Linked DNA regions of Lytechinus pictus. The protein of the gene in region 1 binds, or shares a complex with, the protein of each later gene. Links are inferred from orthologs where the notes say so. Each region holds a gene or a part of one and is shown in the gene's direction. Other genes may lie near its edges.

What was found.
Region 2: GATOR2 complex protein MIOS-like (region 1) and GATOR1 complex protein NPRL3-like share a complex: the UniProt entries of both Drosophila melanogaster proteins name them as parts of the GATOR complex. The link is inferred for Lytechinus pictus from reciprocal best matches to the Drosophila melanogaster genes mio and Nprl3.
Region 3: GATOR2 complex protein MIOS-like (region 1) and protein SEC13 homolog share a complex: the UniProt entries of both Drosophila melanogaster proteins name them as parts of the GATOR complex. The link is inferred for Lytechinus pictus from reciprocal best matches to the Drosophila melanogaster genes mio and Sec13.
Region 4: GATOR2 complex protein MIOS-like (region 1) and nucleoporin SEH1-like share a complex: the UniProt entries of both Drosophila melanogaster proteins name them as parts of the GATOR complex. The link is inferred for Lytechinus pictus from reciprocal best matches to the Drosophila melanogaster genes mio and Nup44A.

Annotation. Positions count from the first base shown.
Region 1 is NC_087257.1:8,783,267-8,790,865, forward strand, and holds the start of GATOR2 complex protein MIOS-like, read left to right. Parts: upstream 1-4,580; 5' UTR 4,581-4,667; intron 4,668-6,337; 5' UTR 6,338-6,381; coding exon 6,382-6,508; intron 6,509-7,599. UniProt on the Drosophila melanogaster protein: An essential component of the GATOR subcomplex GATOR2 which functions as an activator of the amino acid-sensing branch of the mTORC1 signaling pathway.
Region 2 is NC_087254.1:36,127,190-36,134,448, forward strand, and holds the start of GATOR1 complex protein NPRL3-like, read left to right. Parts: upstream 1-4,236; 5' UTR 4,237-4,706; coding exon 4,707-4,824; exon of another isoform or gene 4,825-4,877; intron 4,878-6,351; coding exon 6,352-6,451; intron 6,452-7,259. UniProt on the Drosophila melanogaster protein: An essential component of the GATOR subcomplex GATOR1 which functions as an inhibitor of the amino acid-sensing branch of the TORC1 signaling pathway.
Region 3 is NC_087247.1:59,274,076-59,281,083, reverse strand, and holds the start of protein SEC13 homolog, read left to right. Parts: upstream 1-3,990; 5' UTR 3,991-4,272; coding exon 4,273-4,275; intron 4,276-6,317; coding exon 6,318-6,362; intron 6,363-7,008. UniProt on the Drosophila melanogaster protein: Functions as a component of the nuclear pore complex (NPC) and the COPII coat. At the endoplasmic reticulum, SEC13 is involved in the biogenesis of COPII-coated vesicles.
Region 4 is NC_087246.1:48,199,299-48,206,742, reverse strand, and holds the start of nucleoporin SEH1-like, read left to right. Parts: upstream 1-4,437; 5' UTR 4,438-4,520; coding exon 4,521-4,631; intron 4,632-7,444. UniProt on the Drosophila melanogaster protein: Probable component of the nuclear pore complex (NPC). Involved in maintaining the localization of another nucleoporin Mgtor to the nuclear envelope of early meiotic female germline cells.

The DNA of each region.
Region 1 (7,599 bases):
ATTCGATTTTTTTAATAGTTCAATTTCATACTTGTAAAATTTTATTTCTATGATCAAATCAACTTATTGATGGGGCATGTTGGACATTAAAGAAATAGTTGAAGTAAAATGTTTTATTTGTAAAAGCTGTTATTGCTTGATTGTAACATACATGTCATGATCTCTTAATACTATCATTACAATCATGATAAGTCATTTCATTTTCCCAACTATAACAATCTTTTTGCCAATATATTTTTGTGATATCATGATTTTACTTATTTCATATTATTGCTGAATGCTTTGAAATAGTTGCATGTATGATTAATATTAATTGTTTGCATGAATTAAGACATTAAATTGTATGCATTATTTATCGAGATAGAGAGAGTGTGATCTCGTTATGTGGATAGTAGGTTTCGCCTTAAAATAAAAGTGTATGTTTGTATAAATTGTTATTATCCTGATTAAATCAGCTTTTTTAAACCGATTTTAGTGAAAGGAGTATGAAATTATGCTTATTCACGGTGAGTAAAGAAATGAAAAGAGGGGAGCTGGACAAGACGAGAAGGAAGAAACGAACAAACAGTTTTTTTAAAAAGTAGAAAGGGTGGAAGGAAGGAAGGAAGGAAGGGAGGAAGGAAAAAAATAAGAAAAAGAACAAGAAAGAATGACAAAATAAAATGAATCATAGAAAGAAAGAAAGAAAGAAAGAAAGAAAGAAAGAAAGAAAGAAAGAAAGAAAGAAAGAAAGAAAGAAAGAAAGAAAGAAAGAAAGAAAGAAGGAAGGAAGGAAGGAAGGAAGGAAGGAAAGAAAGAAAGAAAGAAAGAAAGAAAGAAAGAAAGAAAGAAAGAAAGAAAGAAAGAAAGAAAGAAAGAAAGAAAGAAAGAAAGAAAGAAGGAAAGAAAGAAAGAAGACAGAAAGGAAAAAAGACAGAGAGAAAAGGCAAAGAAAGAAAACAAAGGAAGGAAAAAAAGAAAGAAAAGGGAATGAAAAGAAATGAGGGAATAATGTAACAAATGAATCGGTAAGGCATGTGAAGAGAGATAGAGAGAGTGGTTTAATGTTGAGGTATTCCACTTGGTGCTTACAATTTTCCCCATAATTTTAAAAGAGGGGATAAGGTGCAGAGAGAGCTAGAGGGGTTTGAATAGGTTGGGAATTCATTTTTTCAATTTGTAAATTCTTAGGATATTATCAGGAAAGGTTTATCTCCCGGCCCTCTCCCCGGCCCCTACCACCCCCCTCTCTCTATAATGCCCTCTCCCCCCCCCCCTCTCTCTCTCTCTCACTCTCTCTGACAGCATATAGTTGATTTTTTTTTCCTGCATTTGATTTGTTTTGTTATATTTCTCCTTTTGTTTTGGTTTCGTTTAATTTGTCACTCTGTTTATTGTTAGAAATGTTAATTTATCATTGTAAATTACTTGATGTTCGATACTAATTTGTAAAAAAAAATTGTGCATTTCATTTTTATTGTAATCCTTTATGTTTGGATTTGAAATCAATAAAAATAAACTTGAAACTTGAAACTCTCTCTATCTCTCTCTATAACACGCAAACACATTCTTTTTTACTATCATTTATCTCTCCCGGCATCTCGTTTCTCCATTTCTACTTTCAATTTCAAGCTTGGTTGTGGCAATCATTTATGTATCATTTCATATTTTGTTATTATAGTACCAAAAAAAATATAGAAAGATCGTGGCAAACTATTTATAGTTAAATCATGTATTTTCAGATATTGTTGACCTTGTGGGGTTTTTTTTTACGATAAGCCTATGTTTTGCATAGACATTATTAAAATGTCCTGTGTAAAATTGTACATCAGGGGGGATAAAACCGAATAAAATTGAGAAATAACTCATTTAGGGTTGTTTTGTAAAATGTGTGGTCAAGCTCGAATGAGGAGATTTATGTTTCATTGTTTTAATTATTGAATGGCCCCTTCTTGATTTTTATAATTCCATTCATTCAAATAAACTCGAACTCCGATTTGTGAAGAGAATGGCACACATTTCATTTAGCTTTGAACAGGACACCGGGCAGGACACCTTTCGTCAAACTTTCGTTGCCAATTAATGAACACACGAATATGATTCAAATCAATCCTATCTTTTAATACATCAATCCTATTTTTTTATTCCTCATCGTAGGATGAAGCAATGGAGAATAGGCATGTGCCACTTTCATTTATACTGTCAATTCGCAGGATCCCCAAGACACAAAATGATATTTAAAAAATGATGCCCCTATGATTTATCACGGTATCTTGCAGGCCAGAGGTGGGACTAGCTAGGGACCTAAATGTGCAGCGGCGTAACAGGGGTCGGTGGCCAGGGGGGGCAAGAGCCAAAAATTTCCCGGTCATATCATGGTATGAACAGGCGTAATGGTGTAATGAGGCGACACATTGAGAAGGCCAGATATTGCGTATCGGGCTGAATTTATCTTTAAAAAAAGTTTCAAGCGAGCGAAGCGAGCGAGCAAAAATTTTGACCTTTTTAATTGAAAAATTAAAATGTTGTGCTAGATTTTTGACATGATATCCAAAAAATAATATATTTCACTCTTCTCTCTTTAGATTCCTTTTTTTGTGGTCTGTACGCCACTGTGAACAGGATTCTTTGCGGCAGTAGCGTGAAGAGTAAAAAAAAAAAAAAAACGAGGGGCGCAGTATAGCACATGTTCTAAAAAGCTGCTCTATATAAGTCCAGAGCGAGCGAAGCGAGCGAGAAAAAAATCACCTTTTCATGAGAATCTAACTTTGAGCTATTTTTTGACATTATATTCAGTAAATAAAATCATATCCTACACTTTTCCTTTGCTTTTCTTTCCTCCTTTTTTTTCTTGTCTGTAGAACTTTTTGGGGCCATGGCCCAACCCTTCCATACGCAGTGCTGTGCGGTTGGGGTCCGGGGCGGAGCCCCCGGAACTTCTTGATATCAAAGCCATCATAAAACATGTAAAACTTCAAAGATTGCCGCTATTTTAATCAAAATCGCGGGCATATACAGAATATAGCTCTTACACAACACATTTATTTAACCCAGTTGCGTAATCACCAAATATTTGGGGGGGGCAAAACATAGCAATTTTGGAAAAGTTTGTAAAAAGTCGCCAGTGTGCAAAGCGAGCTGGAAAAATATTGCCTATTGAAATTAAATTCTAATTATGTGATAGATTTTTTCATTATATTCAGCAAATAACACATTTCATTGGTTCCGTTCATTTCATTATATGTTGTCTCCTTTAATTTCTTTTATTTCCTCTTGGGTGTGGAACCAAGACCCCCCCCCCCCCCTCCGCGCCTGTATGCCAGTGATTGAACGGGGGGCGTTATAGAGCCATTTGAAGGTTTTAAATGAAGAACCCCTACTGCATGGGGTCTGGGGCAAAGCACCGGTAGCTCATTTGCATAAAATTTAGCAACGTGATAGCACAATGTTGTATGCAGCCCGTCTTTCTTCCCGTTCTTTAATTTCAATCATCGGCAGCCCGGTCGTATTATTATTTATTTTTCTTGTCCCTTTCCTTTGTTTTCCAATTTAGCTTTTGGCGAATTACATTCTACCTTCGTTTCCCGCTATTGTTTGCCATTTTTTATCTTTTAATTTATTTCCCACCGTGTTATTGCATTACATAGGCCTTAATGTTCTTCTTTCCTACATTTTCCCGCTTTCCTTCCTTTTCCATTAAAAAAATGGGATTTCTTCGTTTTCTTTTCCCTTTCCTTTTCCCCTTTCCTTTCCCTTCCCCTTTCTTTCTCCCTCCTTTTTTCTTTTTCCCGTTTTTCTTTTCTTTTCCCGGTGAAATCCGCCAGGGGGGGCAACTTGCCCCCCATGCCCCCCCGCCTGTTACGCCACTGTTAAAATGTGGTGACGAATTCCTTTTCCCAATTGAAATAAGGCAGGGTGCTACGTAAGCACTTGCCCGTGGCAAGTAAAAGTTAGAGTCGGGCAAGTGTTTTGAAGTAAAGACCAAAACTACTTGCCAAAATTGGGCAAGTAGAATTCTCACAGTAGAATGGCCAAAATTACGGTCGATGTCAATAACAAGGTACTAGATCAGGTCAAAAGAGAGAAAAAGGTCAATGGTTCATAAAGCCGCAATACTTTCTTTTGAAGGGGTGAAACTTTTTTTTTTCAATGATTTTTTTCGGGCAAGTGAAATAAATTTTTTGCAAGTATATTTGAACCATTCAAAAATGTACTTGCCCGACTGGGCAAGTGCTTCTAAAAAGTTATTTAGCACCCTGATTAAGGGTAATACAGAGTTAAAATCGAACCAGAGATCTCTATTGATACTCTTCTTTTTTTTTTTCACAATTAGATGGTCATTTTCGCGGGTTTTTTTTCATGGTCACTAAAAAGAGTGGGGGCTGAAGCCCCCCTCCCCCCCCCCCCCCCCCCACAGTTCCGCGGTCAGTACCCTGTTGCCCACCCCTCCGAGGATCAAGAGATTGCCTTTATTAGTCGCTTGGTCGCATGCATTATGCATACGGATATGATCGGTACAACGCATAGAGATGTATACTAATAACGTAATTAGTATACATCTCTATGGTACAACGTCGTATTCATGAGCTTATTAGTCGCCACCTTTAGCAGCGGGAGCCATCGCAATCAATGATCACACAAACCGAAATCACTTTGCAAAGGGCGATCCAGTTTCTTACAGGATAGAGGTAAGAAAAAAATAATTATTTGTTTCATTGTCTTTCAGATTTAGATGCATCCCAGATTCCTTCATTTTAATTTGTCAAATGTACCAAACTATTTATTGTTTATGACATTTTGTAGCTCAAAATATGAAACTGATTTGAGTGATTAAGAATTCGCAAAATATACAGTCCCACACCCTGTAAATGATGTCGGGCCAGAATCACACAAATTCAATGCAATTGCGAGAGCGCTGCGCGAAGTCTAGACCAAAAGCTTCGGTCTATGTTATGTTGGTTGTTCCGCTGAACTCCATTGGCTCCACTCACCAAATACAGACACCGAAGTTCTAGTGCGACATGTACAGGGACTCAATGGCCGTTAAGTTCGGATAAAAGTTTAAAACGGGAAGTGAAGTTGCGCGACAGCCGAAGTAAGTCACTGTTTTTCCCCCTTTTAAGTTTATTTTTCCCCGTTTTGGTGCATTTCAGGCTAAAACGGAATAATAATCTTAATTTTGGTACAGTTCTTTTTATGTATTTGTATGAAATAAAAATAGATAAGACCCGTCGGGGGGATTTTGCATTGTAAACCCCCTAATGGTGGCTGCACGATAGCGAGCCGTCTGTGTACGAGGAGAAATTAAAAAAAATTAAAATGTTAAAAAACTCGAAACAGATGGCTGCCAGCTGTCTACGCCAAGTCATACAGAGTTAAGTCTAGCTTTGGGATCAAATTGGTGAATTTTTTTATTATACCCAGTCAATATATAATCTGCCTGACTAGAACTCTAAAATAGAATCGTGAAATTGTGAATATTTCAGTTCCCAAAATTACCAACTGTTCCGTTTGATTTGATGGAGGAGTATTTGAACATTTTTTATTTCACTTGTTTGATTTCTCATCCTACACAGATGGCTAGCCATCTAGCAGTCAGTATGAGCCCCATAGTAGGCTCAGTGTATTATTCCCCTCAAAATGGTGGTTTGAATTTTTTATTATTCTTATGAAAATTATAATGTTTTAACATGACACCGAGTCTGAGGTTGTGATGATTACTAGATTTTCATTATTTTAAAACTTCAATCATTCATAGACCTAAATTTTGATTGAGATGTTGAAATAAGGAAGAGCAGTTGAAAAGGCACCTGTCCTGCAATGTCTCAAGCCAGACATGCCAGAGAGATCAAATGTTATCCCCTTTCTGTTTTCTTTCTTCTTTTTTAATACAATTTTATTTATTTTTTTTTTTTTTATTCCGTCTGTTGCCACTTATGGCCAGCAAGACAATTTACTAGTGAAATTTAGTCTATCATTGATGGTTCTGATGAAATACATCTCACTTGTAAACTGTCTTTAATTCTACTCGTTGAAATGTGAACTAGTATGCACAATTTTATGGAGAATTTTCCATCTAGCGATGTACACGCTGGTTCCAATTTTGAAGAATAGATAAGACAGTTCATGAGTCGGATTTAGTTCGTCAGTGATGATTCTGATGAAATGAATCAGTCAGCGCTGAATACAGTGTATGACTTCCTTGATAAACCTACCTGTCAATAAAAGTACCGGTAGCTATATTTTTGTAAATTGTACATCCCAAAACATCTAAGTCAAGGAGACAGTCAATTGCCCCCAACATCTCATAATTACATTTACAATCCTTCTCGTATCATTCTCTATTATACTTTGACAGTAATGCCGAGTTGCAATCCTCTACCTTAGAATTTGGATACCAAGATGACGAGCAAGTGGACACAGGATGTTCAGTGGTCCCCAGTGCATCCCGAGACATTCTTTTCTCTTTCTGTTGGAACCAACCAAGTCGAGTTCAATCAGTTTGCCGTAGAGCCACTCGCCAACTATGGTAAGACAATTACCATTATAAGGCAGTAGATCTCTGACTTTCCTGAAATGATTTGTCTCTTTATTCTAGTTCATATTGTAGGGTTTGTGAAATAAACATCTACTTGTATTGGGAGGTTTGATTTGTCGATGGGAAGAAATGATATCCGTTTAAATTCAACAGGAACATAACAGCAAATATAACAGGAACATACGGAGCCGAAGACGGTGAACAAAATAATCGATGAGAGTGACTGGGTGTATCTATCTCTGTATCTGCATCTTTATTAACAAAAATATCTTTCTTCTTATATCTTCCTGGCCCTACATGAAGTAGTATCCACAGTAACATTACATTATTTACATTAACCTAAAGCTAACCAATGAAATTCAAGAAAATAGGAGAACCCAAAGAAAATGTAGTTGCCCAATTCATAAAAATAAACAGTGAAAAAGGACTGACGTGATGATGGGTAAATGACAAGGGTGATTATGTAATGAAGAATGTTCAACAAAAGTACCAGATATGAGGATGGAATGAATGAGTACATCTGAATAGGAAAGGAATGAAGATGACTAGAGGAGTAGGATAGTGGCTGATGTGATGAATAATACCTCGGTCACATAAGCTCTACGGCGGCCGTACGGCGAGTCGAAAGCAGCCGTTTTATTAATTGTTATTCAAACCATCTATCATGTCTATATCATGTAGCAGGTACAAAAAATGTTGAAACGACTGTTTTTGACTCGCCGTACGGCGGCCGTAGAGCAAATGTGACCGTGGTATAAGAACACAAGTATCTATAGGTAGCTGACTGAAACACATACCAGACTGAACTAAATGAACTGAACAGATGTCAAACAAAAGCAAACCAAATGTACAATTAACCTTTCTACAGTGTGAAAAGTTCATATGAGAAAGCCCTCGCATTATCATGTCTTGGGCAATTCACAAGATAAAGTAAAAATAGAGAAATATGGGGGTCGAACCTACGAGAAGTTTGATTATTTCATAGTAATAGTAATTGTAATATAATCATTGTATTGTAAAGAAATTGACATCTTTTTTCAGATTGCACATTTAGAAATGATATCGCCTCCAAAATGTATTGA
Region 2 (7,259 bases), on another chromosome or scaffold:
AAATAAGATACATAACTCACCAATAAAAAATAATGCGAGCGCAAAGCGCGAGCTCAAAAATTTGTGATATTCCAACCTGAAAACTGGACATTCTAAGCATTTTTTTGTGAACGGGAAGAGAACGAGTACAATAATTGATGCGAGTGCAGGAAGCAAGCCAAATATTTGTGATATTTCAACCATAAAGCAACATTCTATACATTTTTGTAACCATTAGCAGTACTGTACTAAACAATAATTGATGCAAGCACGATTCAAAATCTGTGATTTTCGAACCTAAAATATATTATGTTTTATTATTAAAAAAGGTATTTCTTTCATTTGGACAAAAAAATCTTATGGGGATTTTTTTTTTTTGGGGGGGGGGGCAAGAGAGCACAAAGCGCAAGCTAAAATTTTCAAATGCTTAAACTGAAAATGAGTCATTTTTAGGACTCTTGTCGTTTTCATATTTTTTTCTGCTTACAACCACTTTTATTAAACAGTTAATTAATCATTAATTATTAATACTTATCGATAATATTAATAATTATTAATTTTTAAATTATTTTTTGTTAATTATTATTTCTTGAAACCATATTGACACAAAAAAAAATACGTTGTTTATTTCCTTGAAACTGTAGAGAAATAAGATTCAATGTTGAACGATATATGATAAAAAAGAAGTAAAAACTTTTTCCCCTTTGTTTTGTCAATCTGACCCAAAACCAATATAAAATTTAGAAGAGAGATAGAGAGAAGAAGAAGTCCCACCACCAAGAATAAACTTAGACAAGGGGGGGGGGGGGGGGGAGGGAAAGGAAAAGATGGAGTAAATGTGATATTATTTTTTAAACAATCTATTGCAAAATTAGCTTTTCTTATAGAAAGAGGGGGACAAATTTTGTTCACTCGCTCGCTTCAATCGCTTTCTTCTTTTTTTTTGACAGAAATTTTGCTCTATATATGCCATGCTTGGCCCCTCATAGTTTCTGGCTCATCATGCCATTGACATAACCCATTTGGATATGACAAAATTGGAGACTGTGTTCAAGTTTACCAAATCTTTTCAGAATATCATTAAGACTTAAAACATTCTTGTTGGCCAAAGAAAATAATACAAGGAAAATTCATTCTGAGCAACGTGAATGCTTACGATCGGCACGGTCGAGGCCAAGTCCACTGCGCATGCGTACTCTCAATCCGAAGACGCAAGTCATGAATATTCATATGCTGCACGTACGTGCATAGCGCCAACTTAATGTGTTCCGCCATCTTGCTTGTTGGTTGCCGATAAAATGCGCATTTTCAGATTTTTTAACGCTCAGTTATTATCCATGACTGAAACATTGACCAATCAAAAACTAAGATTCTATAAGAAATATGAATATTCATATACGAAAGTAAAAACATAGATAATTCAGTGTTATGTGAAATTTAAACCCAATACTTCAAAATATGGTTAGTTTTATGTCTCTAAAATGACCCTTAAAACCAGAATTTTATTACTAAAAAATAAAGGTTTTCCCAAGTTGCCATGGTAACGCGGTCTGAGATAAAAAAGCTTAGCAAACACTTCATTTCAGTGATCGAGGATGTATTTGTTTACGGTATACGTCTACATAAATTATAACATTTTTTTCCAGACCATGGATGAACTTTCAAAAAGAGACATTTTAGGCAAGTTTTTACGATTTCCGGAAATTTTCTGACACAGGCACTTTGAAGAGGTAATTTTTACAGAATTAGAAGAAGACATCATGGATTTTCCTAATTATCACGACGGATATGCAACTTACTTGTAAACAAATCAAACAAAGTCTATGATACATTTTTGATAATGCAAAAAGAGACATTCAAGTCTCTGATTGAGAGCCGCAGATTGAACATTCGCACGGCGCAATGGTAGCGTTTTCGCCGAATTCGTCGGGGCGAAAACTCCAAGCGAGCCGTACCACTCACCAGTCCCGAACGCTGCGCTGTATGTTTGATGATTTATCTGGTGCCATTTCGTGCTTATAAATTAGTTTTTTCTACAATGCCACTATCTCATTAAAATTGTTTGTCATGATAACATTGGAAATATTATCGTTTAATGGCCCAAAGGATCGACTCTAATAAAAGATACTTTGAAATATTGTCAAAGAGTGATTAGTTAGGTGATGTTTATGGTCAGAATTTAGTCATGGCTTCGGGTGAACTTACGCGAACGCGGTCACTTGCTCACGGGGTGAGTCGGCCTGGCCCTTTGGTGGAAGGCCGTTAGGCAACGTGCAGTGCAGCTAGAGCAGAGTTGGGGAGTTATAGGTATAAAAATACTTTGAAATAAGTAATCTGCAAATATTTTTGTCTTATCCCTTTGGATTACTTAGATAAGAAATTCAAATTCTCAAAGTTTAAATCAAATTTTAGACAGTGACAACAAAGAGTGGTGCTGTATGGGGGGGGGGTCTTGCATGCCCCCAATTCACGAACAAGAAAAAAAAAGGAAAAGGTAAGAGAATCTTGCGAGATCGTTCAATTGGATTTTTGTAACCAAGAGTCAAAATTATGCTTATGTCGCTTGCTTGCAACTATATATTTTATAAATTTTGCCTGATACGCCATATCGTTTTACCCTCAATTATTTTCGCTTGTTACGGCTTACGCCACTGACTGATATAACATTATTTGGTTGCGGGATCAAAGCATCAGCTATAGCTAAACATTTATACTTTATGCCTGTTCAACTTCCAATACAGGTTTAGGCCTGTATTTATGAGATGTTAAGATCTATGGACGGTAGACAGCTGGCAGCCGTCTGTTTCGAGGAGTTTTTTAACCATTTTTAATTTTTAATTTCTCCTCGTACAATAGACAGCTGGCAGCCGTCTGTTTCGAGGAGTTTTTAAACATTTTTTATTTTTTAATTTCTCCTCGTACACATGTATTTGGTGAGTGGAGCCAACGTAGTTCAGCGGAACAACCAACATAACAGAGACCGAAGCTTTTGGTCTAGATATATGGGTGCCTTTATTATTTTCATTTTCAATTAAAACAATTATTAATTATGTATTAATTTAGTATTTACCTCGATGATACATTTTATTGTGTTAAATCGTACAATTTCTGTTATATTAAGCCCCTTATTAAGCCCTTTTAAAAACATGCTCAGTAGCAGACCCCCCCCATATATAAAGACAATAGAAGTGTATATAGAATTAATTGAACCCCCCCCCCCTATTGAGGACAAAATGAAAAAAAAAATACTCAAAATAATCGACCGCCCCCCCCCCCTTTGACGAGGCAGCTGTCGGTGGCCTGATGTCTTCATTGACTTTTTTTTGCTTGTAAAAATAATATTAAAGAAATAGGGGCTACTCTAAGTGTCCCCTGTGAAAATTGATCTGGATCTGCAAGTGCATGAGGCTGCGCCCTCTCCAACGTCATAGCTACCCCATATCTTTAGGTTCTAGCTCTCATATTTTTCAGCTCCCTGATTTTTTGGAAGAAAAAAAAACGAGGCGAAAGAAAAGAGTGAAATAAATGAAATACGATTAATCAAAATTTGAGTTGTTTTCTATACTTATCAGAGAAACTAAATTAAATTCTACAACCATGAAGAATAACAGCAATCTTGATAAATTCTGTTTTTTTTTCAAAATCAGAACCAATCAACCTTTTTCTGATTATTCTGTCACTTTCCATATTTTGGAGAAAAAAATAAAAGTGTTCATCGACGCCCTGTACTGCACGATGAAACTGTATCCCCACTCGGCCCTCGTAACCCCCCCCCCCTCTCTCTCTCTCTCTCCCTTCCCCCCCCCCCCCCACCACAATGCCCCTTGCTCATTTCTCTTATCTCACCTTGACCTTAATTAATTAATCTTAACTATTTGGCGGTACAGTCAAACGTGACTGGTCGCCATCATAGTTTCATCCCCAACAAACAAGGAACAAACAATAACAATTCTGTTTTTCCACCCAACATCATTCCTTTCAATACGCGTAAGGCTATACGTGGGCATGCACAAACAACGTGGGTTAACAAAAACTGACCCGCGTTTGGACTGAAATTGTGATTAAAATAAAAATGTTATAAATATGAAAAAAATATGTGTATAATGAAGGATATTTGATAAACGGAAAAACATCAATCGCTAATTCATAAAAATGCTGGAAAAGATTTGACAGTGGTTTTTAAGAACGGTAATCAAGGGGAATTAGTGTATGGGTGAATGGCGTTCGAGCTTTAGCCGAGCGTTAGCCGGTGAGGGCGCGGGCCAAATCTGGCAATATGGCGTCGTCCATTAAGCTGACGTTAGGCCAACGGCGACTGCACGTACGTGGCTGGTCCAGAACTCGGTGGGAAAAATAATTTCGCGCCCGGGCCTTGTTCTTTTCCAACACAAAAACACACATTTGGGACTATATTAGTATTTGTGTGAATCAAGAATATTAATGAAATGTTTTGTAACTGACAAAAACATTTTCATGAAATACTTATGAAAAAATGAAGAATGATGTGCAAGCCAGAAGAAATATCCTACCCTACGGCTACGGTATTGTACCTCGTCAAAAATTTGTGTGACTCGTAAGATCCGACCTGTTTTTCTCGCTTCGTATGCTGCCACATTTGTACCGCCTGCTGCATCATGTGTTTCTAGATCCTCGATCTTCCGAACATTATCGAAATTCAACGCGAGACAGTTTGGATCAAAACTGTGAGAAAAGCACACAACTGAAAAATGTCATCAAAAGTCACTCCTTTAAGTATAATATTGGTATCATCCGGATCAAAAGGTTACCGGTTGTTATTTAGATATCCATTTCAAGCAGAAAAACAGCAAGAATTAGTTAAACGAGGTAAGTGAAAAATAAATAACCAAGCTCCCATCTCACTGAGCTCAGTCCCACTCGTTGAAACCTGGGTCGGTTACTTACTCGATCGGTTAAATAAAAGACGGGGAGGGGGGGGGGGGGGGGGAGAAAATAATGAAGGAAGGAGAAAGAAAGAAACTTAGAATGAAAGAAAGAAAGGAAGGAAGGAAATAAATGAATAAAGAAAGAAAGGAAGGAAGGAAAGGAAAGGAAGGAAGAAAGAAAGACTAAAACTAAAAAAAAGAAACCTAAAATGAAAATTACTTGAAACTGAATGAAAGTTTAATAGTAATAATTACTAATACGGTACAGAAATTCCATAATTTCTGAAAAAGTAAGTTGCGGAGTAACTTTACAATCCAATGTCATAATGGATTATGAGAGCATGGATTACACACTAGTATTAGAACGAGGCATCATCATAGTCATACTTCAGCTCATGACATTGGATTCTAAAGGTAAGCCCAAAGTAGGTCATTGTTTGTTTGTGTGCCGCAAAATACAGAGACATAACAGGACCTTGCTCAGCTGTATGTCGCAAGCATGCACAAAGTATAGGTATACTCATCTTGTGTGTTAACTAATTAACATTGCTGCATGCAAGCAAAAATCCTTGAAAATTCATGAAATTCATAATGCAAGCCTATATCTATATGATCAGTATGCATTGTGTGTTGCACTGTGCTTGCTTTTTACAGCCACAAAGAATCCTCAACAAATGGGTTTCGAAAAATGATCAATAAATTTGGACGTTATCAAATGTTGAACCCCGGCCCCATCCCCCAAATAATGAGAAACGAATGTGAGGAAACTTGAAATAAGCTACATGTATCGAAATCTTTGAAAGAAAGAAAGAAAGAAAGGAAGGAAGGAAAGAAAGAAAGAAAGGAAGGAAGGAAAGAAAGAAAGAAAGTTCAAAAGAAAAAAATTATAATTTTTTTAACTGGAAGTGGTACGCTAGTGAACCGACCATTTTGTTTTCATGTGTAAGTAGATCGTATAATTTGTTATTGATATGAGGTTATAACTGATTGCATACTTTATGTACGCATACATTTGTTATATATATATATTTTTTATGTTGTTTATAAACTTTATATGGTGTACACTCATACCCTGAGAGGGGGTTGATAGAGTGAATTAAATATTATCTATCTTCTAAATCTTACACAATGTATCTATCTATCTTCTTAATCTTTGATGGATTTTCCTCAAACCTTCACCAATATTTTTTTCTGGTATTTTTACAACATGTTTTTCTTCAGGGCGAACTTCCCTTTTAAGTGCAAGCACCCTGTCACATCACCAGGGAGGTTGTGTCCAGGCTGCTGCCAGCGCCAGCTGACATTCCTAAAATTCCATTATGCCAAGTCCTCATGGTCAGATATTTTAGAAGTTTATTAACCCCTGTGTCCAAGCATGTTGAAATAAAGTTGACAACGTTGGACAGTTTTTAGCTTGTTTTCTCTTGATCTTGTGGATAAATGCTTGATTTGTTTATACACCCCCCAGATCTGTCAGATAATCCATTTGCACTTCAGACCCCCGAGGATGATCCGTATACTATCTCAACTAATCAGTCATCTACAAGACAGTCGTGCATTATATCTGGGTAGGTTTTTGTATTCTATTTTGGTTTGTTTCAGGTGGGGGCTTATTTTCTTACTTATGCTCATACAGTACATTTTTATCACATTCAATGGCAAATTTTGGGCGGCATTTTAGAGCTCAACAGTGCATTTTTACATTTAAGGGACAAATTGTGTGTTTTCTTATGTATTTACACAGCTATTAAATTGGGCAGGAGGGGGGGGGGGTGATAAGGTGCAAGATACTACCACGACGTTAACACATCAATTAGTGCTTGCTAAGTGTATGATTGAGCCATCTCCCCACCCCATATTATTCTTTCTTCATTTATTTTTATAACTTTAAAATCATTATTCTATCCAAGAACGATAAGGAACTGGAACAACCTACCCAGCTCAGCTATCAACACCAAAGGAATGTCCAGTTTCAAGGAGGCTGCTCTCCCTGCCATCAGAATGATGCAGCCCCCTATTGGATCCCATATGATTTAAAGTCAAAAGCTTGGTTTTTACTTGCACTCAGCATAGCATGTTTTACTGTACATATACAAAATTGCTATGTCTGTTCATCACCATTTCTGCACTTCATGACACTCCTTCCAGTGGCTCACTTTATTCATCATCCCAGTATATCTTCTGTATGAGCTGCCAAAGGGATTACTACATCAAGTATCAAGAGGGTATTTGCCTCCTTGCTCCTCACTGATGTAGAGCCTCCCACATAAATCAATCTTAAACAAATGTATGTGCATTTTTTCAAGAGTGTTCTTTATCCAGATTGTGAGAGATCCCTAATGAAAATAAGCTGAAATCAGCTAAGAAGTTAATCTG
Region 3 (7,008 bases), on another chromosome or scaffold:
CTCATTTGAGTTGTGCATATCACTGTTTTGTGAAAAATAAGCAAAACTTTAAAGTGTCATAACTTTCTTATTTTACATCCGATTTTGATGAAATTTTCTGCGTTTTGCTAGTTTGATTTTTCCCTATTTATTCAAATCAACTTTTTCCTGGGGTGGACTTGACCTTTAAAGCTGAAAAAAAGAAAGTGATAACAATTTACATGTTTGCTTCATTTCACCAGGGAGTTGTGATGTATTTCACAACAATTATTTGAACATCCTGGTCGGCAGTGGCGTAACTACGGGAGGGGGGGGGGGGCACGTGCCCCCCAATCGGCTGACACCCCCCCCCCCCCCAACAAAAAAAAAAAAAAACAGGGAAAAGGAGAAAAAGAGGGAGAAAGGAAGAGAAACGTACTGGGAAAGAAGAAATTATTGATGTTTTGTTAAATTATAATTATGTTATGTTATATTACATAAGAAATATCTTTTTCATAACTTTATGAAACATTAACTCAGGGCCTATGGCTATGTCTTCATTGTTCCTGGTGCTCGCATTGTCTGTTTAAGAATATATTTAATCCTGTTGTACTAAAACCTCCCGTTTTCAAGTCAATATACACCAAATATATTTTTTCGCACTTCGAGATATTGTTTTATGCACAATAGTATGCTTCTTTTTCATGACTACTTAAAGCGATTGCCTAATTTTAAGGTCTTGATATAAAACATTTCCTGTCCGTGCTTACGTTCGCAATTAGTGGATTGGTGAGGTATAACTGCCCTCCATGAGTTCCTATAGAATCAGTACTTAAAATATCCCTTTTTCTGATCTGAATGTAAAAAAATTTCAGCTCGCTCTTCGTATAATGATTACACAAATTTGATTATAATGTCCATTTTTAGGTCTGAATATCCAAAGTTTTCAGTTCGGGCTTCGCGCTCGCAATATTTGATTAGTGAGATGCGTATAATGATGATTACAATTACTACAAGCATGACAAGTGCTTAATGCGTTTAGATGCAATACTAAAAAAATCAGCAAGAGCTTGGCAATCGCATTAGATGACTATGGTGAGATATGTATACTCTTAATGGATTCCTAAAATATAGTCCTTAAAATCTCCGTGTCTGAGGTCAATATATACAAAAATTTCAGCTCGCGCTTCGCGCTCGCATTGTTTAGTGAGACAGGTACGTATAATGATTACAAAAATTTTTGAGTCCCTTTTTAGGTCTGAATATCCAACATTTTCAGCTCGCGCTTCGCGCTCGCATTATTTGATCAGTTAGATACATATACGAAGCGCGCTCACTAAGTGGCTCAGAATTTTTGCTGGTGCCCCCCCCCCCCCCCCCCCCCCATGCCGTGACCCACAGTACGCCACTGCTGGTCGGTATGCAAATGAGGGGACTGACGACATCATTTTTTTTTGGTATTTTATATATTGAATATTGATGTTTCAAATTTCTCCTCATCGTCACGTGAAGCAAAATTTTCTCTTCTAAACATGTGGCATTGCCATGGTACTAACATTTAATATGTTCAGTCAAGTTGGTCTTTTATGTCAAATCTGTAAACATTGAAATATCGTTAAAACTACTTTTTAATGAAAGAAGAAGAAAGAAAAAGTATAAAATGAGGGACATCATTGTCTTTCTCATTTTACATGCCATTTTAAGTTGTGAATATAAAGTCTTCACTGTTTTTTTTTAAGTATTTGAATTTAATTTTACTATTTATAACCTGCACACAGTTTTCTGTTGCCAACAGCCCTGGTTGTAATGACAGATTGGAATTAAAGATGTAATAATATTTAACTAGAAAAAAGAAAAGTGATTAAGGAGTAATGAGATAGAATCAAATAAATGTGGAGAATAGGGAAGAAAAATGAGAGCCAAAGAGAAATGGACTTCGTGCAAATTATATGAAATCTTAAAGGTCAAGTCCACCCTATAATTTTTTTATTTGAATAAATAGAGGAAAATCAAACTAGCTAGGCTGAAAATTTCATCAAAATCGGACGTAAAATAAGAAATGTATGATATTTTAAAGTTTCGCTTATTTTTCACAAAACAGTGATGTGACATGCACACCTGGGATGCAAACGAGACAGTTTATAACCCTAACTCACTATTTCATTTGTTTGTTATTGTTTAAATTGTGCAATAAGGACCAAGTTAACTGAACCATAGTAATAAAAAAGCTGATTCAACATGTTCAGGGAGGAATTGGCCGTTGTTTCATTTGACATGAGGAGAAAATTAGAATATTTCACATAATCAAATGCAAAAAAAGTGGATAGTCTCCTCATTTGCAAATCGGACCAGGATGTGGAAAACTGTATGTGAAATTAACAGAAACTTTAAAATGTGATTAAACTTTCTTATTTAACATTCGATTTTGAGGACATTTTCAGTGTTATAAAATGTTGGATTTCCTTTTTTTATTCAAATCAACTTCTTTGTTGGGTGAACTTGTCCTTGACCTATCATTCTGAGTTCTATGAATTTGTATTCTGTACCATTGTTTGTGTTTGATATGGTTTGAAATAAATACTATACTATACTACTACTATACTGATCCTTAGTTATATTCATAATCTATTATAGGGCTAATAAAATACACGAAGGAAGTTCCAACCTATATAAAGTGAAAAAATGACCCAACAGAAAGATATAAAGAGACTGTTTGCATGGTATTGGAACAAACTATAATGGGCCAATACAAGAAATAGACATTTCTATAGCTTACGTGTACTTCCCTGCTTTGTTCTAGCAGGGATATGTGACCATTTCCTATGGTATTATACCAAGGAGATATAGAGTGATATCTCCTTGATTATACAGTAGGCCCTGTAATGACCATTTCATTTCTGCATTTGGATGTAGACCACAAGATCCCTGGAGGGATTTCTGGGCATGGGACATTGTTTATGTTGGATTAACTACTGGCTAAATCTTATCTGAGTTATCAATTATCTTCTCACTGGCCACTGGTAGCAGTTCCCCTGGGAGGCTGATTGACAATGTTTACTAGCCAATGGAAAGTGACTCTGAAAGGAGGAGGTGGGGCTTGATTTGGAGCGTGAGAATTGATTTTTGGAAGATTATGCAGACCCTGTATTGGAACAGCAAGTTTTGTATGTGCTAGTCTTTGCGTGGAGGCACACTTATTGATCAAAGTTCCAATCAGGGTCTGTGCCTGCAGACTAGGTATGGGAGGGGGCGCTTCCTTCTTTGCCTGTCTCTCTTTTAGTCAATGCAAATCATTTTTTTTTCTTTCTTATTACTTCTTGATTACATAATTATATTCTCTCTCTCTGTCTGTCTTACGGTTCAAAAGTAATATAACCCAAGAAAAAATATCTTAGGCTTACTGAGATAATTAGAATTGTAACTTATATCTATAAAAAAATATATATAAAAAAAAAAAAAAGGAAGAAGGAGACTGAATCACAAATCTAGTATTAATGCAGATAAGTGATGCTACACTGCAGGGGCCGCGGAAGCGGGGGGGGGGGGGGGCCACTTTTTTCTAAGACCGTGTACAAAAACGTAAAAATGACCATAGGATTGTGATTTTTGTATGGTCGGCCCCCCCCCCCCCCCCCCACTTTGAAAACCGTTCTGTGGCCCCTGCACTGAGAATCTAACTTGTTGAAATCTCTATGTACCTTGGTCACATTTGTTCTACGGCGGCCGTACGGCGAGTCGAAAACAGTCGTTGTATTCATTTTTATTAAACCACCTATATGTAGCTCGTACCAAAAAAAATGTTAAAACGGCTGTTTTCGACTCGCGCCGTACGGCCGCCGTGGAACAAATGTGACCAAGGTATTATTCATCATTTTTTTTGCATGTACTAGAATGTTGGTGTGTTGATCCTTATGATTTGATTCATATGATTAGAATAAATATAGAAAGAAATATAATGTATATAAATTTAAAATAAAAAGATAAATGAAAGAAAAAAAAATTAAGAAAATGCTTATCCTACTTGACATACAGTGTGTGGCAAAATAGTAAATCATGACTTATTGCCAAATAAAAACAAGTAATCATATGGAATGGAATGGATGGAACACTGCACTGATCTGAATACAAGCAAGCAGGATCAGTGAAAACCGGTACCACCAACCTTACCTATCACCAACCCGGCCCTACTCGGTTCCGGGTACGGTATACGGTCCCATTTTGCATGCAAATTGCCTATTTGATAGAAGAAGTCAAGCAGCTTTCCGCCACGTCGCTTTAGCTTTTCATGAATTAATTGTAAAAGTTCTGGGCAAGATGGTAAGAAAATTATTTATTCATATATTACATTTTAAATTGATGCATTTCAGTTCTAATGAAATACTTTGATATCAAGATTTTCAACGTTTTAAACCCAAAATAGCTCTTTCAATGAATAATTGTTCTGTGCTCAGTCCCGTATGTGTCAAAAGGTGTGGTGTTTTATCCTATGAAAGGGGGGGGGGGGGGCATGTCTGCGCCACTCATCATACGAACTAGACAGCTGGCAGCAATCTGTTTCGAGTATTTTTTTAACATTTTAATATTTTTAAAAACTTCCTTGTACACAGACGGCTCGCTATCGTGCAGCCACCATTATCAAAATCCCCCTGACGCGGCTCATCGATTTTTGTCTTTAAGTTTAGGCCTAGGCCTAGGCCTATTTCAAAAAAAAATTATAGCCTTTTATAGGGGGCCTAAAACGAAATGTACCAAAATAAAGATTATTATTTCGTTTCGGCCTGAAATGCACCAAAACGGAGAAAAATAACTTAAAAGGGGAAAAAACAGTGACTTACTTCGGCTGTTGCGCAACTTCACTTTCCTGTTTTATCTGAACTTATTTACACATAGGCCTATGGCCATTGTCCCTGTACAGATTGAGCTAGAACTTTGGTCTCTGTATTTGGTGAGTGGAGCCAACAGAGTTCAGCGGAACAACCAACATAACATTTCATCCAGTGCTCAACTCGCACCAATTGCTTAGTTTAAGAACTCATATATTCCACGCACCATCAAGGACTGGAATTCTCTACCCCCCGACATCCAATCAATCTCACTCTCAGTCTCCGATAACTTCAGAACACAGGCAACTATATACTTTCGCAACAAAGACTTAAGCAACAAGGACTAATAAGAAATGAAGTGTGCACTCCCAATTCCTCCTCGGGTGGTTCCTAATAGTAATAAGGATGTTGAGGAGTATAATCAAGAAGAAGACCGAAGCTTTAGTTTTGGTCTACACACGAACAAGGTTATATAGCCAATATAACCTTGTTCTCGGCAGCATACTGTAGCATGGACAAAAAAATCAACTATTTTCCTCCCCATCCCTCGCCCCAAGTATCACAACCTGATCGAACTAGATCTGTGAATACTTCTAAGATTAGTCACTAAGTCAGTGATAAAAATTAGGCCTGGGATGAATGTCATTTTTACCATTCGATTATTTCCTGAAAAAACAATCAAATTATTTGATTGTTCATCGGAAATCACATCTTTTAAGTCACAATAGTTCACCTACTTTATGGTGACCTCCCGAATGAAGAAATCTCCATCAAAGTCACATGTTTATCATAAATGAAAGTAGGCCCTCTTCCCCCTTCTCCATGATTTTCAAAAGAAACTACATGAAATGAGATTAAATCTTTCAGTTTATTGTTCCAATGAAAATCTTTCCTAAATCAATGCTGGTACCCTGGTATTAGGTTGCATTGTTTTGAAACATGAAATGAATTCTCTGGCTCCCTCTCCCCTATCTTTCTCTCTCTCCCTCACACACACACAGATGGGGAGGGGTCAATTTATTTCTGAAGTCATGACCTTTCCTGATAAGGGAACGCATGTGGCTTCTTTGTTTCCCAAAAAGTTTCATTGGCTAATAGAAGGTCCAATCAGCTCAAGTGAGCTGGTTGTGTGTTTACTTTCTGTTTTGAGCACGCAGACAATGACTTGTATTGTGTATCGAGGGCAAGGCCGGGTTGGATTAACATTTTCGGAGCTCTTTCAGGTCGGAGTTTAACTGTGAATGTGATACAATCATTGATCAGTTTTGACAAATTACCTTGGTAACATCATTTTTAAACCTGTATCAAGTATTCAAAAACCATTGTCATCATAGTTATCCTGTCATTTTTTTATTATTACTTGGGTATTTGAGTTATCCCAACGTCATAATCGGGATCTGCCAAACATTCGGTCAGTGTAAAATTTGCTAATCGATTGGCGATCGGTGGCAAGCCATTCGATCAATCGATGTTTACTCCCAGGCCTAATAAAAATTAAATTAGATAAATTTTCACAATTTTTTGTTTCTCCTTCAGGTTTCTGTAATCAGTACTGTGGATACAGCTCATGAAGATATGATTGTAAGTCATTTTATATACCTTTAGTTTAAATTTTTTTGGATAATAGTATATTTGCACTCATGTATTTGCTTTGTAACTTGATCTTTATTGAAATGCCAAATAAGATAATAATGATAATAAGAAGAAAAGAATAAACATTAGATTAAGTAAGAGACCTGGGGCCTGTTTCTCAATACCGGGACAAGTTAGTTGTATTTCTTTCCAACAACCACAGAGTTAGCGCCAATATACAATGTACTAACACGTTTCACAAAAGGCTTATTGCGTGTATTACTAGAATCTCTCGATATCGATTCTATTGGCAGAAAGAGCTAATGAGACGTAGCCTTATGCCCAGTTGACACATGCAGGTATTGTGGTGCCCGCAATTCCCTGCATTGATGCGTGCCAGTGCGGGACACTTTATGGCACGACTTGGATATATCAGTTCACGCATTGTCCTGACACGTTCGTAACATGTTTGCGCGTTGTTATTATTATTATTTTGTTTTGGCGTCACCTGTGCCTGGGAGGCGAAAAGCGAACTGAATCACTATGACCCGCAGGTCTCTCCTCCCAATATAACTGATTGGGGGGGATGTATATAGAATGCGTATAGTTCGCGCATAGCTCACGCAGTGTTCGCGTACTGTCCCGACCATGTCCC
Region 4 (7,444 bases), on another chromosome or scaffold:
ATCAAACTGATGGCAAGATTGTAAACTATAAAATCATTGATGAAAATGTGAAGTAGCGTCCGTAACGTTGGCGAAGAACAATAAGAAACAAGATGGTGGCGTAAACATCGAGCAAGTTTACCCCGTCTTTTCATAATATTTTTCTCATTTTTTTTCATGAATTCTTGTTTAAAGATGATATCGATAGCGTAGAAATGTCAGAAATGAAGTTGTATCCCAGGCATTTACACGATTTAGGGCTAGATCTTTTAATAAGGAAAGTAGAAATCTCGGAGCGAAAGTTTCAGGTTTTTTGGCGGTACACGCACATGAATGGGACGGAATCCCTGGCTCCGTGGAGAGTAAGCATACGTAAGTAAATGATTTTTACTCTCTAGGTCTAGGAGCCTCCTGGCTAACCATATGACCCCCTCCCATCGCAATGAATGAACCAAAGCGAAACTTACATTATATTTATATTAATTCTACTCAGAGATTATTTTAGTCCAACTGACTCAGAGAAAGATGAAATATCAATCTACGCACACTGGCCTCATAAGTCATATTTTGGCTTACCAAACATCAAAGCCCAGGATAAAAAAACCGCCACACAGGTTAGCAGATGCAGATGATTTATCTGGGCACTTTTCTGAGTCGAGATAACACTGCACTTGTTGTAGTTGTAATTGTGAGTTGTGTCGTGAGTTGTTCACACTCACAGCTGTCTGACTCTGCTCTGCCTCTGGCCTCTGGCTCTGCCTCTGATTTTTAGTGAACTTGAATTTGAACAAAGTTTGAATTGAAGTCTGTTTTGGCAGTCCAGTGAAGATTAACACAATTCCAATCAAACCCACAGGCCAACAACCTATCCAGACATATGAAAAATTAACTTAAAATCTTGCAGTAAACAATTCCAGCCCAGCAGCATTTGTTTTCACGCACCGCTTGCGCTGTACCTACGTAGGCTCGATCTCTATATCTGTGGATCCGCGCCGGGGTACCGGGTACGGTCGGTCCGGTAGTCGGTCGTGGCACTTCAGGGGGGTTTGCCCGTGAGACGATCTGTGTCGTATGCGGTGGTGCGAGCGCTCAGCTACGTATACGGTACCGGTCATGAGAGAGAGCTCAAGCCATAGAAATGTGTGGATAAAATAACTCGTCCCTTCCAAATTCGACACTCATTCAGGCTTCTCGGCTGATGATCTGAGCGGGCGGTCGAAGTACAGAGAACTTTCCTGCTGTTTTATATGGCATTGGTACAATAAAAATGCTGTTCACTTATTCTCTGCGTGGAAACATTCTCGTCAGATCTGAGTCGATACAAAGTTAGGCATCGATATTAAAAATTCAGACGGAATTACAAATAAATGAAAAGATCATTTGATTATGACAATAATATACATATACCAATTTATGTAATTAGGAATTAAATCTATTTGATCATTAGTTTTGAGCCAGTGGGCAACAGATATGGATGTAACATTCATGATTTAAGATTGACCAGAAAATGTAAAAAAAAAAAAAAGCGTACTACTGATACAACGCATGATAGATTAATTTGAAAGACAGATAGACCTACATACTCAATTTTCCAAAGTTTTTGTAAAATAGATGAAGTGAAATGAGTCACATAAGAATCTAATTTTTAACCAGGCGTGGCTCTAGACTAAAAGTGAGTTTTTTTTTTTTTTTTTTTTTTTGGGGGGGTGGCTTGATAAATTTTCGACCGTTGGTTTATTCAATACCGTATGGCATATCGTGTACTCTATGGGGAGACTACTGACAAGCAGCTAACCGCCGCTGCCCCTAAGAAAAAATGTTTATAATTTAATGCGAGGAGCGTAGCGACTGAGCGAAAAAAAAATGCTTGAGAATGTTTTCCATAACTAATTTATTCACATGTATTAAAGTTATCCCCCACTAATCGGGGCCTATGTATTGAATATTGTATCATAATTAATTTGTATTGTTAAGTGGAAATTAAAAAAAATGAATTGAATTGTCATAAAGAATATCTTATAGAAAAAAAAATCAGAGAGTTTTTGACAAAAATATAGAGTTAAAACATTAAGGCATTACTAGTCCTTATCTTTGTGGAGGGTGAAGAAGGGAAGCTAATTTGAAAAAAAAAAGCAAAGGCACTGTATTGCAGGGGACCATTGACTTGATATACTCACACTAGAAGAGCATTAATGTATTTTGCCTTTAGATGTTTTTCGAGAAATATTTCAAATTTGAATAGTAAAAGCTTTAGTTTTAGAGCTCTCGACGACATTGATGCATTAATAGAATACTGCATTAATCAATACATATATTATAAGCATATAGGGCTTATATACATTATTTTCCCCTTTTTTAAACAGACCTGTTCTGTTAAGTTGTAGAAAAATTCCTGTTTTATGAATTTACAGAAATATTCTGTTATTGCTTTCTGCAAAATCTCGTTTTTTCTGTAAAATCAGGTTTTTTAACAGTGTAGGCAGCACCCCTGGAATTCTGGTAGGTGTGGCAAAATTAATGTAACCAAAATGACCAACATTTTTTAATGAAACTTTTTGTTTGCTTTTCTAATTTCTCGGGACTAAAATATATCGAAAACTTGCATACAGTGTACCGGACATGTAAAAACATAGCAGACGACGTTTGCAGACCTCGCGATCATCGTGACTAGTGGTACAGAATGTTCCATTTGCGGCTTTATGGGGGAAATAGCATTACAGAGGGATAAATAAAATGTATACACAAATAATGTTTTAGCGTTGATTCGCAATATTTTGTGTCAATTTCATGAATTATCGTTGTTTGAACATTTAAAACATCATTATAAAGTGAAAGGAATAAGCAAAACTTAATTTTCAGACTTACATATGCAGTGGTAAGCTAGGATGCGCGATGCATGCACCCCTCGTATACATAATGGACCCGTCACAATATTCAGAGACATATCCAACTTTCAGAGAATAAAATTGATTTTTGTTGGCAAAAATAAAGGTATCTGATATATTTATATTTATAGTTCGGACTGACAATGTATATATATTTATATATTCCTAATAAAATGTTCAGCACTGCAATGGAAAGAGCTGGAAAACCGCTGTGACTCGAACAACACACCGACGTACACAAAAGCTCTGTCCAGCCCTGAATGCACGTCGAGTGTAGGTTTGCTCTTCGGACATCACTATCACAAAGAAAATCTCCTCTGATTTGATGATGAAAGTGTCCTATTTCCTTATTAATTAATCCCCATGATTCTTTCATGAGTATTTGCCTTACAATGTGCCCTTTATTATAATCTAAACGAAAATTCTTGATACTATCACCCACCGATGTGACAACGGATGTAATCCACCCGGGTACTATAAAAATGTCCCCCAAACCCATTATCCCAATACATATTCCTGACTTTGGATGGTTTTGAGTGATTTTAATGTAATAAAGTGCCATAATTCCCACCAATCGAATGTAAATAGAAGTTGTTAATATTCATTTCAGGGGGACAGAAATTCTATCTGAATCAATGCTTGTCCTTGATACACATTTGTTTGTGAAAAAAGGGTAGGCCTATGATGCAAGGGAATTCTGCGTGTTATAAGGGTGCGCGCGTGCAGCGAGGACCTTCTGTCCGCTAGTTTTCCATATGCGGCGACGTCGGACATCTATATTTTGTAGTTAAACAGTTTTTTTTTGCTTTTCAAATTTACATCAGCCCCCCAGTAAAAAAAAAATCGTTTATTCGACCCTGAAAAGAAATGGTGAGTAGGTGACGTCATCGGTTCCCTTATTGGCATATAGGGTCTACTATGTTGTGAAATCAATAATCAAAAGTTTAGAATGTCATTAGGCTCACTATTTTATTTTAAATCCGATTTCGATGAAATTTTCAATGATGTTTCTATTAAGTTTTATTTTTCTCTCTATCAATTAATAGATAAATCAACCTGTTTAAAAGTACCGGATAAAAAACCATATAATATTATACCTATATTGGCTACATTATATGCCTACTAATTATAGCTAATTTATTTTTTTACTTAAAGTTACAAACAAGCACATTCGAAAACAAGATACAGCCCATGCAAAGTGTATGTTACAGCCCCCCTTATAGGAGCTTGATCAAATTGATTCATGACATGCAAGGAATAATCCTCGACATAATTGGTGCATTATCAACATGACACAACAATATAATGGAGCAATGGTAGCTGAGCTGAGTTTGTGCTAGGCGAGCCTCCTGAATGAGCCACCGTGATAAAATAGAAAATTGGCAATAGCCACTGATTAATAGAAATGGATCATTAAAATCACTGATATTCAGATAAAAAAATGAAATAGATACATATAAAAAACTTATTTTGTACTTCTCATAAATATTTAATTTGAAATCATCGAATTAAATACAAATTTGAATAATGTGTTGTTCGATTATCATTGTTTATGCTGAATCGTATTATTGCCAATTTTGTCAAGTCGTCGATCGTCGATGGTATCTGCTTTGGAGCAGAAACTGCTGTAAAGAAATATTGCGGGAAATCAACAAAATGTTTAAGGCGAAGAGTATTTCTGCAGAACACAAGGATTTGATACATGATGTTGCATTTGACTTTTATGGTCAACGAATGGCCACATGTTCCAGTGATCAGAGTGTACAGGTAAAGTCTCTTAACAAAATGCTAATTTAAAATTTAGGATCGGTCCCACATATTGGAATCCGCGTGAGAAGATAATCATTGTCATTGTTGAGCAGCGGAGCTGAGCCTGAGTTGAGCCACTTGCCCACTTGTTGACTGTAACCACCCACCCACTGGTGCATTTTGCATTCTCAGTTGTACGTAAAGTTACGTACACAACGCACTCACATTGATGGTGGTCAAGTTTGATTTATTTTAGACTTATCCTAAGCCTAACGTCCGTCCATGCGCAGTGAGTCGCCATCGGCAGTCTTCAAAGTTCAACCTTCAATTTTGCAACAACAAAAAAAAATTCTTACCCAAATCTTTGTATGAGATGAAAGTATCCACAAATCCTCTCAAATATATGATAAACTTTTCTCCTGAAATTGCTACAGTTTTTAGTAAGAACATCATGAATTACACACTTCCGGAACGGCGACACAATGACGGGTATAGTTTGAGTCGCCGATTCGAAAAATCCAATACATTTACTACACAGATATATCGCGCATGCGCACACACACGCACCGATCGTACACAAAAGTGCATTGACTCAGCTGCGTTGTTGAAACCTCTCCGTGGGTTGAGATATATGTTGAGATGCCACCCCCTCTTATTTTGATAACAATTGTCACCCCCACCTTCAAAATGAAATGATCGTGAGCATTTTTTTATAATCTATATTTTGATACCAAATATTGGTAACTTGAGCGGGCAGTTTTGGAAACATCGATTGCTTAGTGTGGGCGTCTCAAATCGTCGCCTGAGAAAAATGGCAGCTTAAATTCCACCGTACGGATCCAAATTTGCAAGTCTGACTTTGACTGCGCTAAACTCCTTTGTCTTTTGCTGGATCTTTTAACCAAACGTTGCAGCATTTCAGGGAATTACTGAGGATTAATATCAGATGCCACAAGACACTTTTCAACATTGCAAAAGATTTCTAGAACCATTGTAGTCAGGCAGTGACAGGTGAGTGGCGCAACAGTAAAAAAATTGCACATGGCGACTCACTGCGCATGGACGTTAAAAGGCTAAAGCCAAGCCAAGGCCAGGCCAGGCCCAGGGGTAAAAATAAAACAAAAAAACCTAGACCCCTATGAATTTGATTGACACGGAATAGACTATAGAGTAAAAAAAAAAGTGCTCAAGTATCGGACACTTGACCATAATTGGACCAAAACAAAAATACAAACATTGAATCAAATAAAAATCATATTTCCCGAGTACAAATTTTGAATATTAGATCTAATTTAAAAAAAAACTGAAAAAATATGGTGAATGGAAGTTATTTACTGACTCATGACTACCAGAAGCTTGTTATTTTTGCCAAATATCGGACGCAGTTTCCAAATAGTGGGCACGTAAAGTTGTGTGCTGCGATCAATTTCGGCAATTTAAATCGCGCTTGATTGTTGATAAAATACCGTAACTTATTTCAGCTGCGCAAATGCAGATTTCAATTATTAGTATGAAAAATTTTGATATAGAAATCAGTAAATAACAATTATTTACTTACCAAACAGGCCTCTTTTGGCTCTAAAGACTTAACATCGGACATCTTCACGTCTTCGCTCAGCTGCGTGTGACTTCGTTCTGAAAATGAGCTCGCGCGCATCAACAGCACGCATTTCCAATTCAAGCGGCCGGTATGTCCGATGTTCTGGAGAGTGCCTCTGCCTCATAAGTCATTTGGAAGGGTGTCAAATTTCCCCCTGTGGGGAAACCCTGGGGCGGCCATTGCAGATTTTTTTTGCAATAGATCGAACATGTGTCATCTCGGCGGCGATATACAGTGCGTACCACAAAAAATGTAACCAAGATTTATCGATGATTTATCATAACTTAATCAAAAATGCAATAGACAAATGACCTACCATTGTAAAGCTTAGAATCTCCTCTTTCATCTGAATTTACTTGTCATTCACGCATGAGTGAGCAAAAACAATTTGAAGAGGGGATACCAAAAGGTCATTTGGCAGGCTGTATCTGGGTTTCAAAAAGAAAACCACATTTTTTAAAAGTTCAATATCTGCTCTTTAATTTGATACCTCAATTACAGAAAATGGTCACGAAATAACAAAGTTCTGGTTATTTGAAATAAGGCTTGAATTTCAATAATTTCATTAAATGAAGAGGTTTTACAGGCTAGCGTCCAAACTCACTGGACACTCCGTTTTGTTGACGATCAGCCATGCATTAAGCCTTTTGTTAACCATGCGATAGCTTCTGTGGGAAACCGGTGAAAACACGTTTATTTAATGAAATTATGGAAATACAAGCATTGTTTCGAGTAGACCAAAAGCTTCAGTCTCTGTATTTTGGTTGTTCCGCTGAACTGCGTTGGCTCCACTCACCCATACATAGACTGAAGAGTTGTTGGCCCGTACGTACAGCCAACGTATTAGCAGTAATGTTAGATCTAACATTCGGCGGAAACCGATTTTCGGATCATTTTTTTGTACATAAAATGTCACATTATAAAAAAGAAAGTACATTCAAACTTAAGAAAAAATATATAAAATTCAGAAATATCGTACCTCAGACCGCAGTTACCGCTAATTCCTTTCAAATGATGATCGAAACATAGTCATCTTCAATCCTTTTGTTGGTCAACGTAAGTTGCCATCTTGGATGACGTCATCATCCTTACAGACGTATGTACCAGTCACTATATATCGCCATTTGTGCCGCTGCTTTGCGCTTGTAGATGTGCGTGCGTTCGGAACTTATCGCTCGCATTGATTGGCCAGGATATCGAAAATTTAATCGGAAAGCCTTGATAAAAGCAC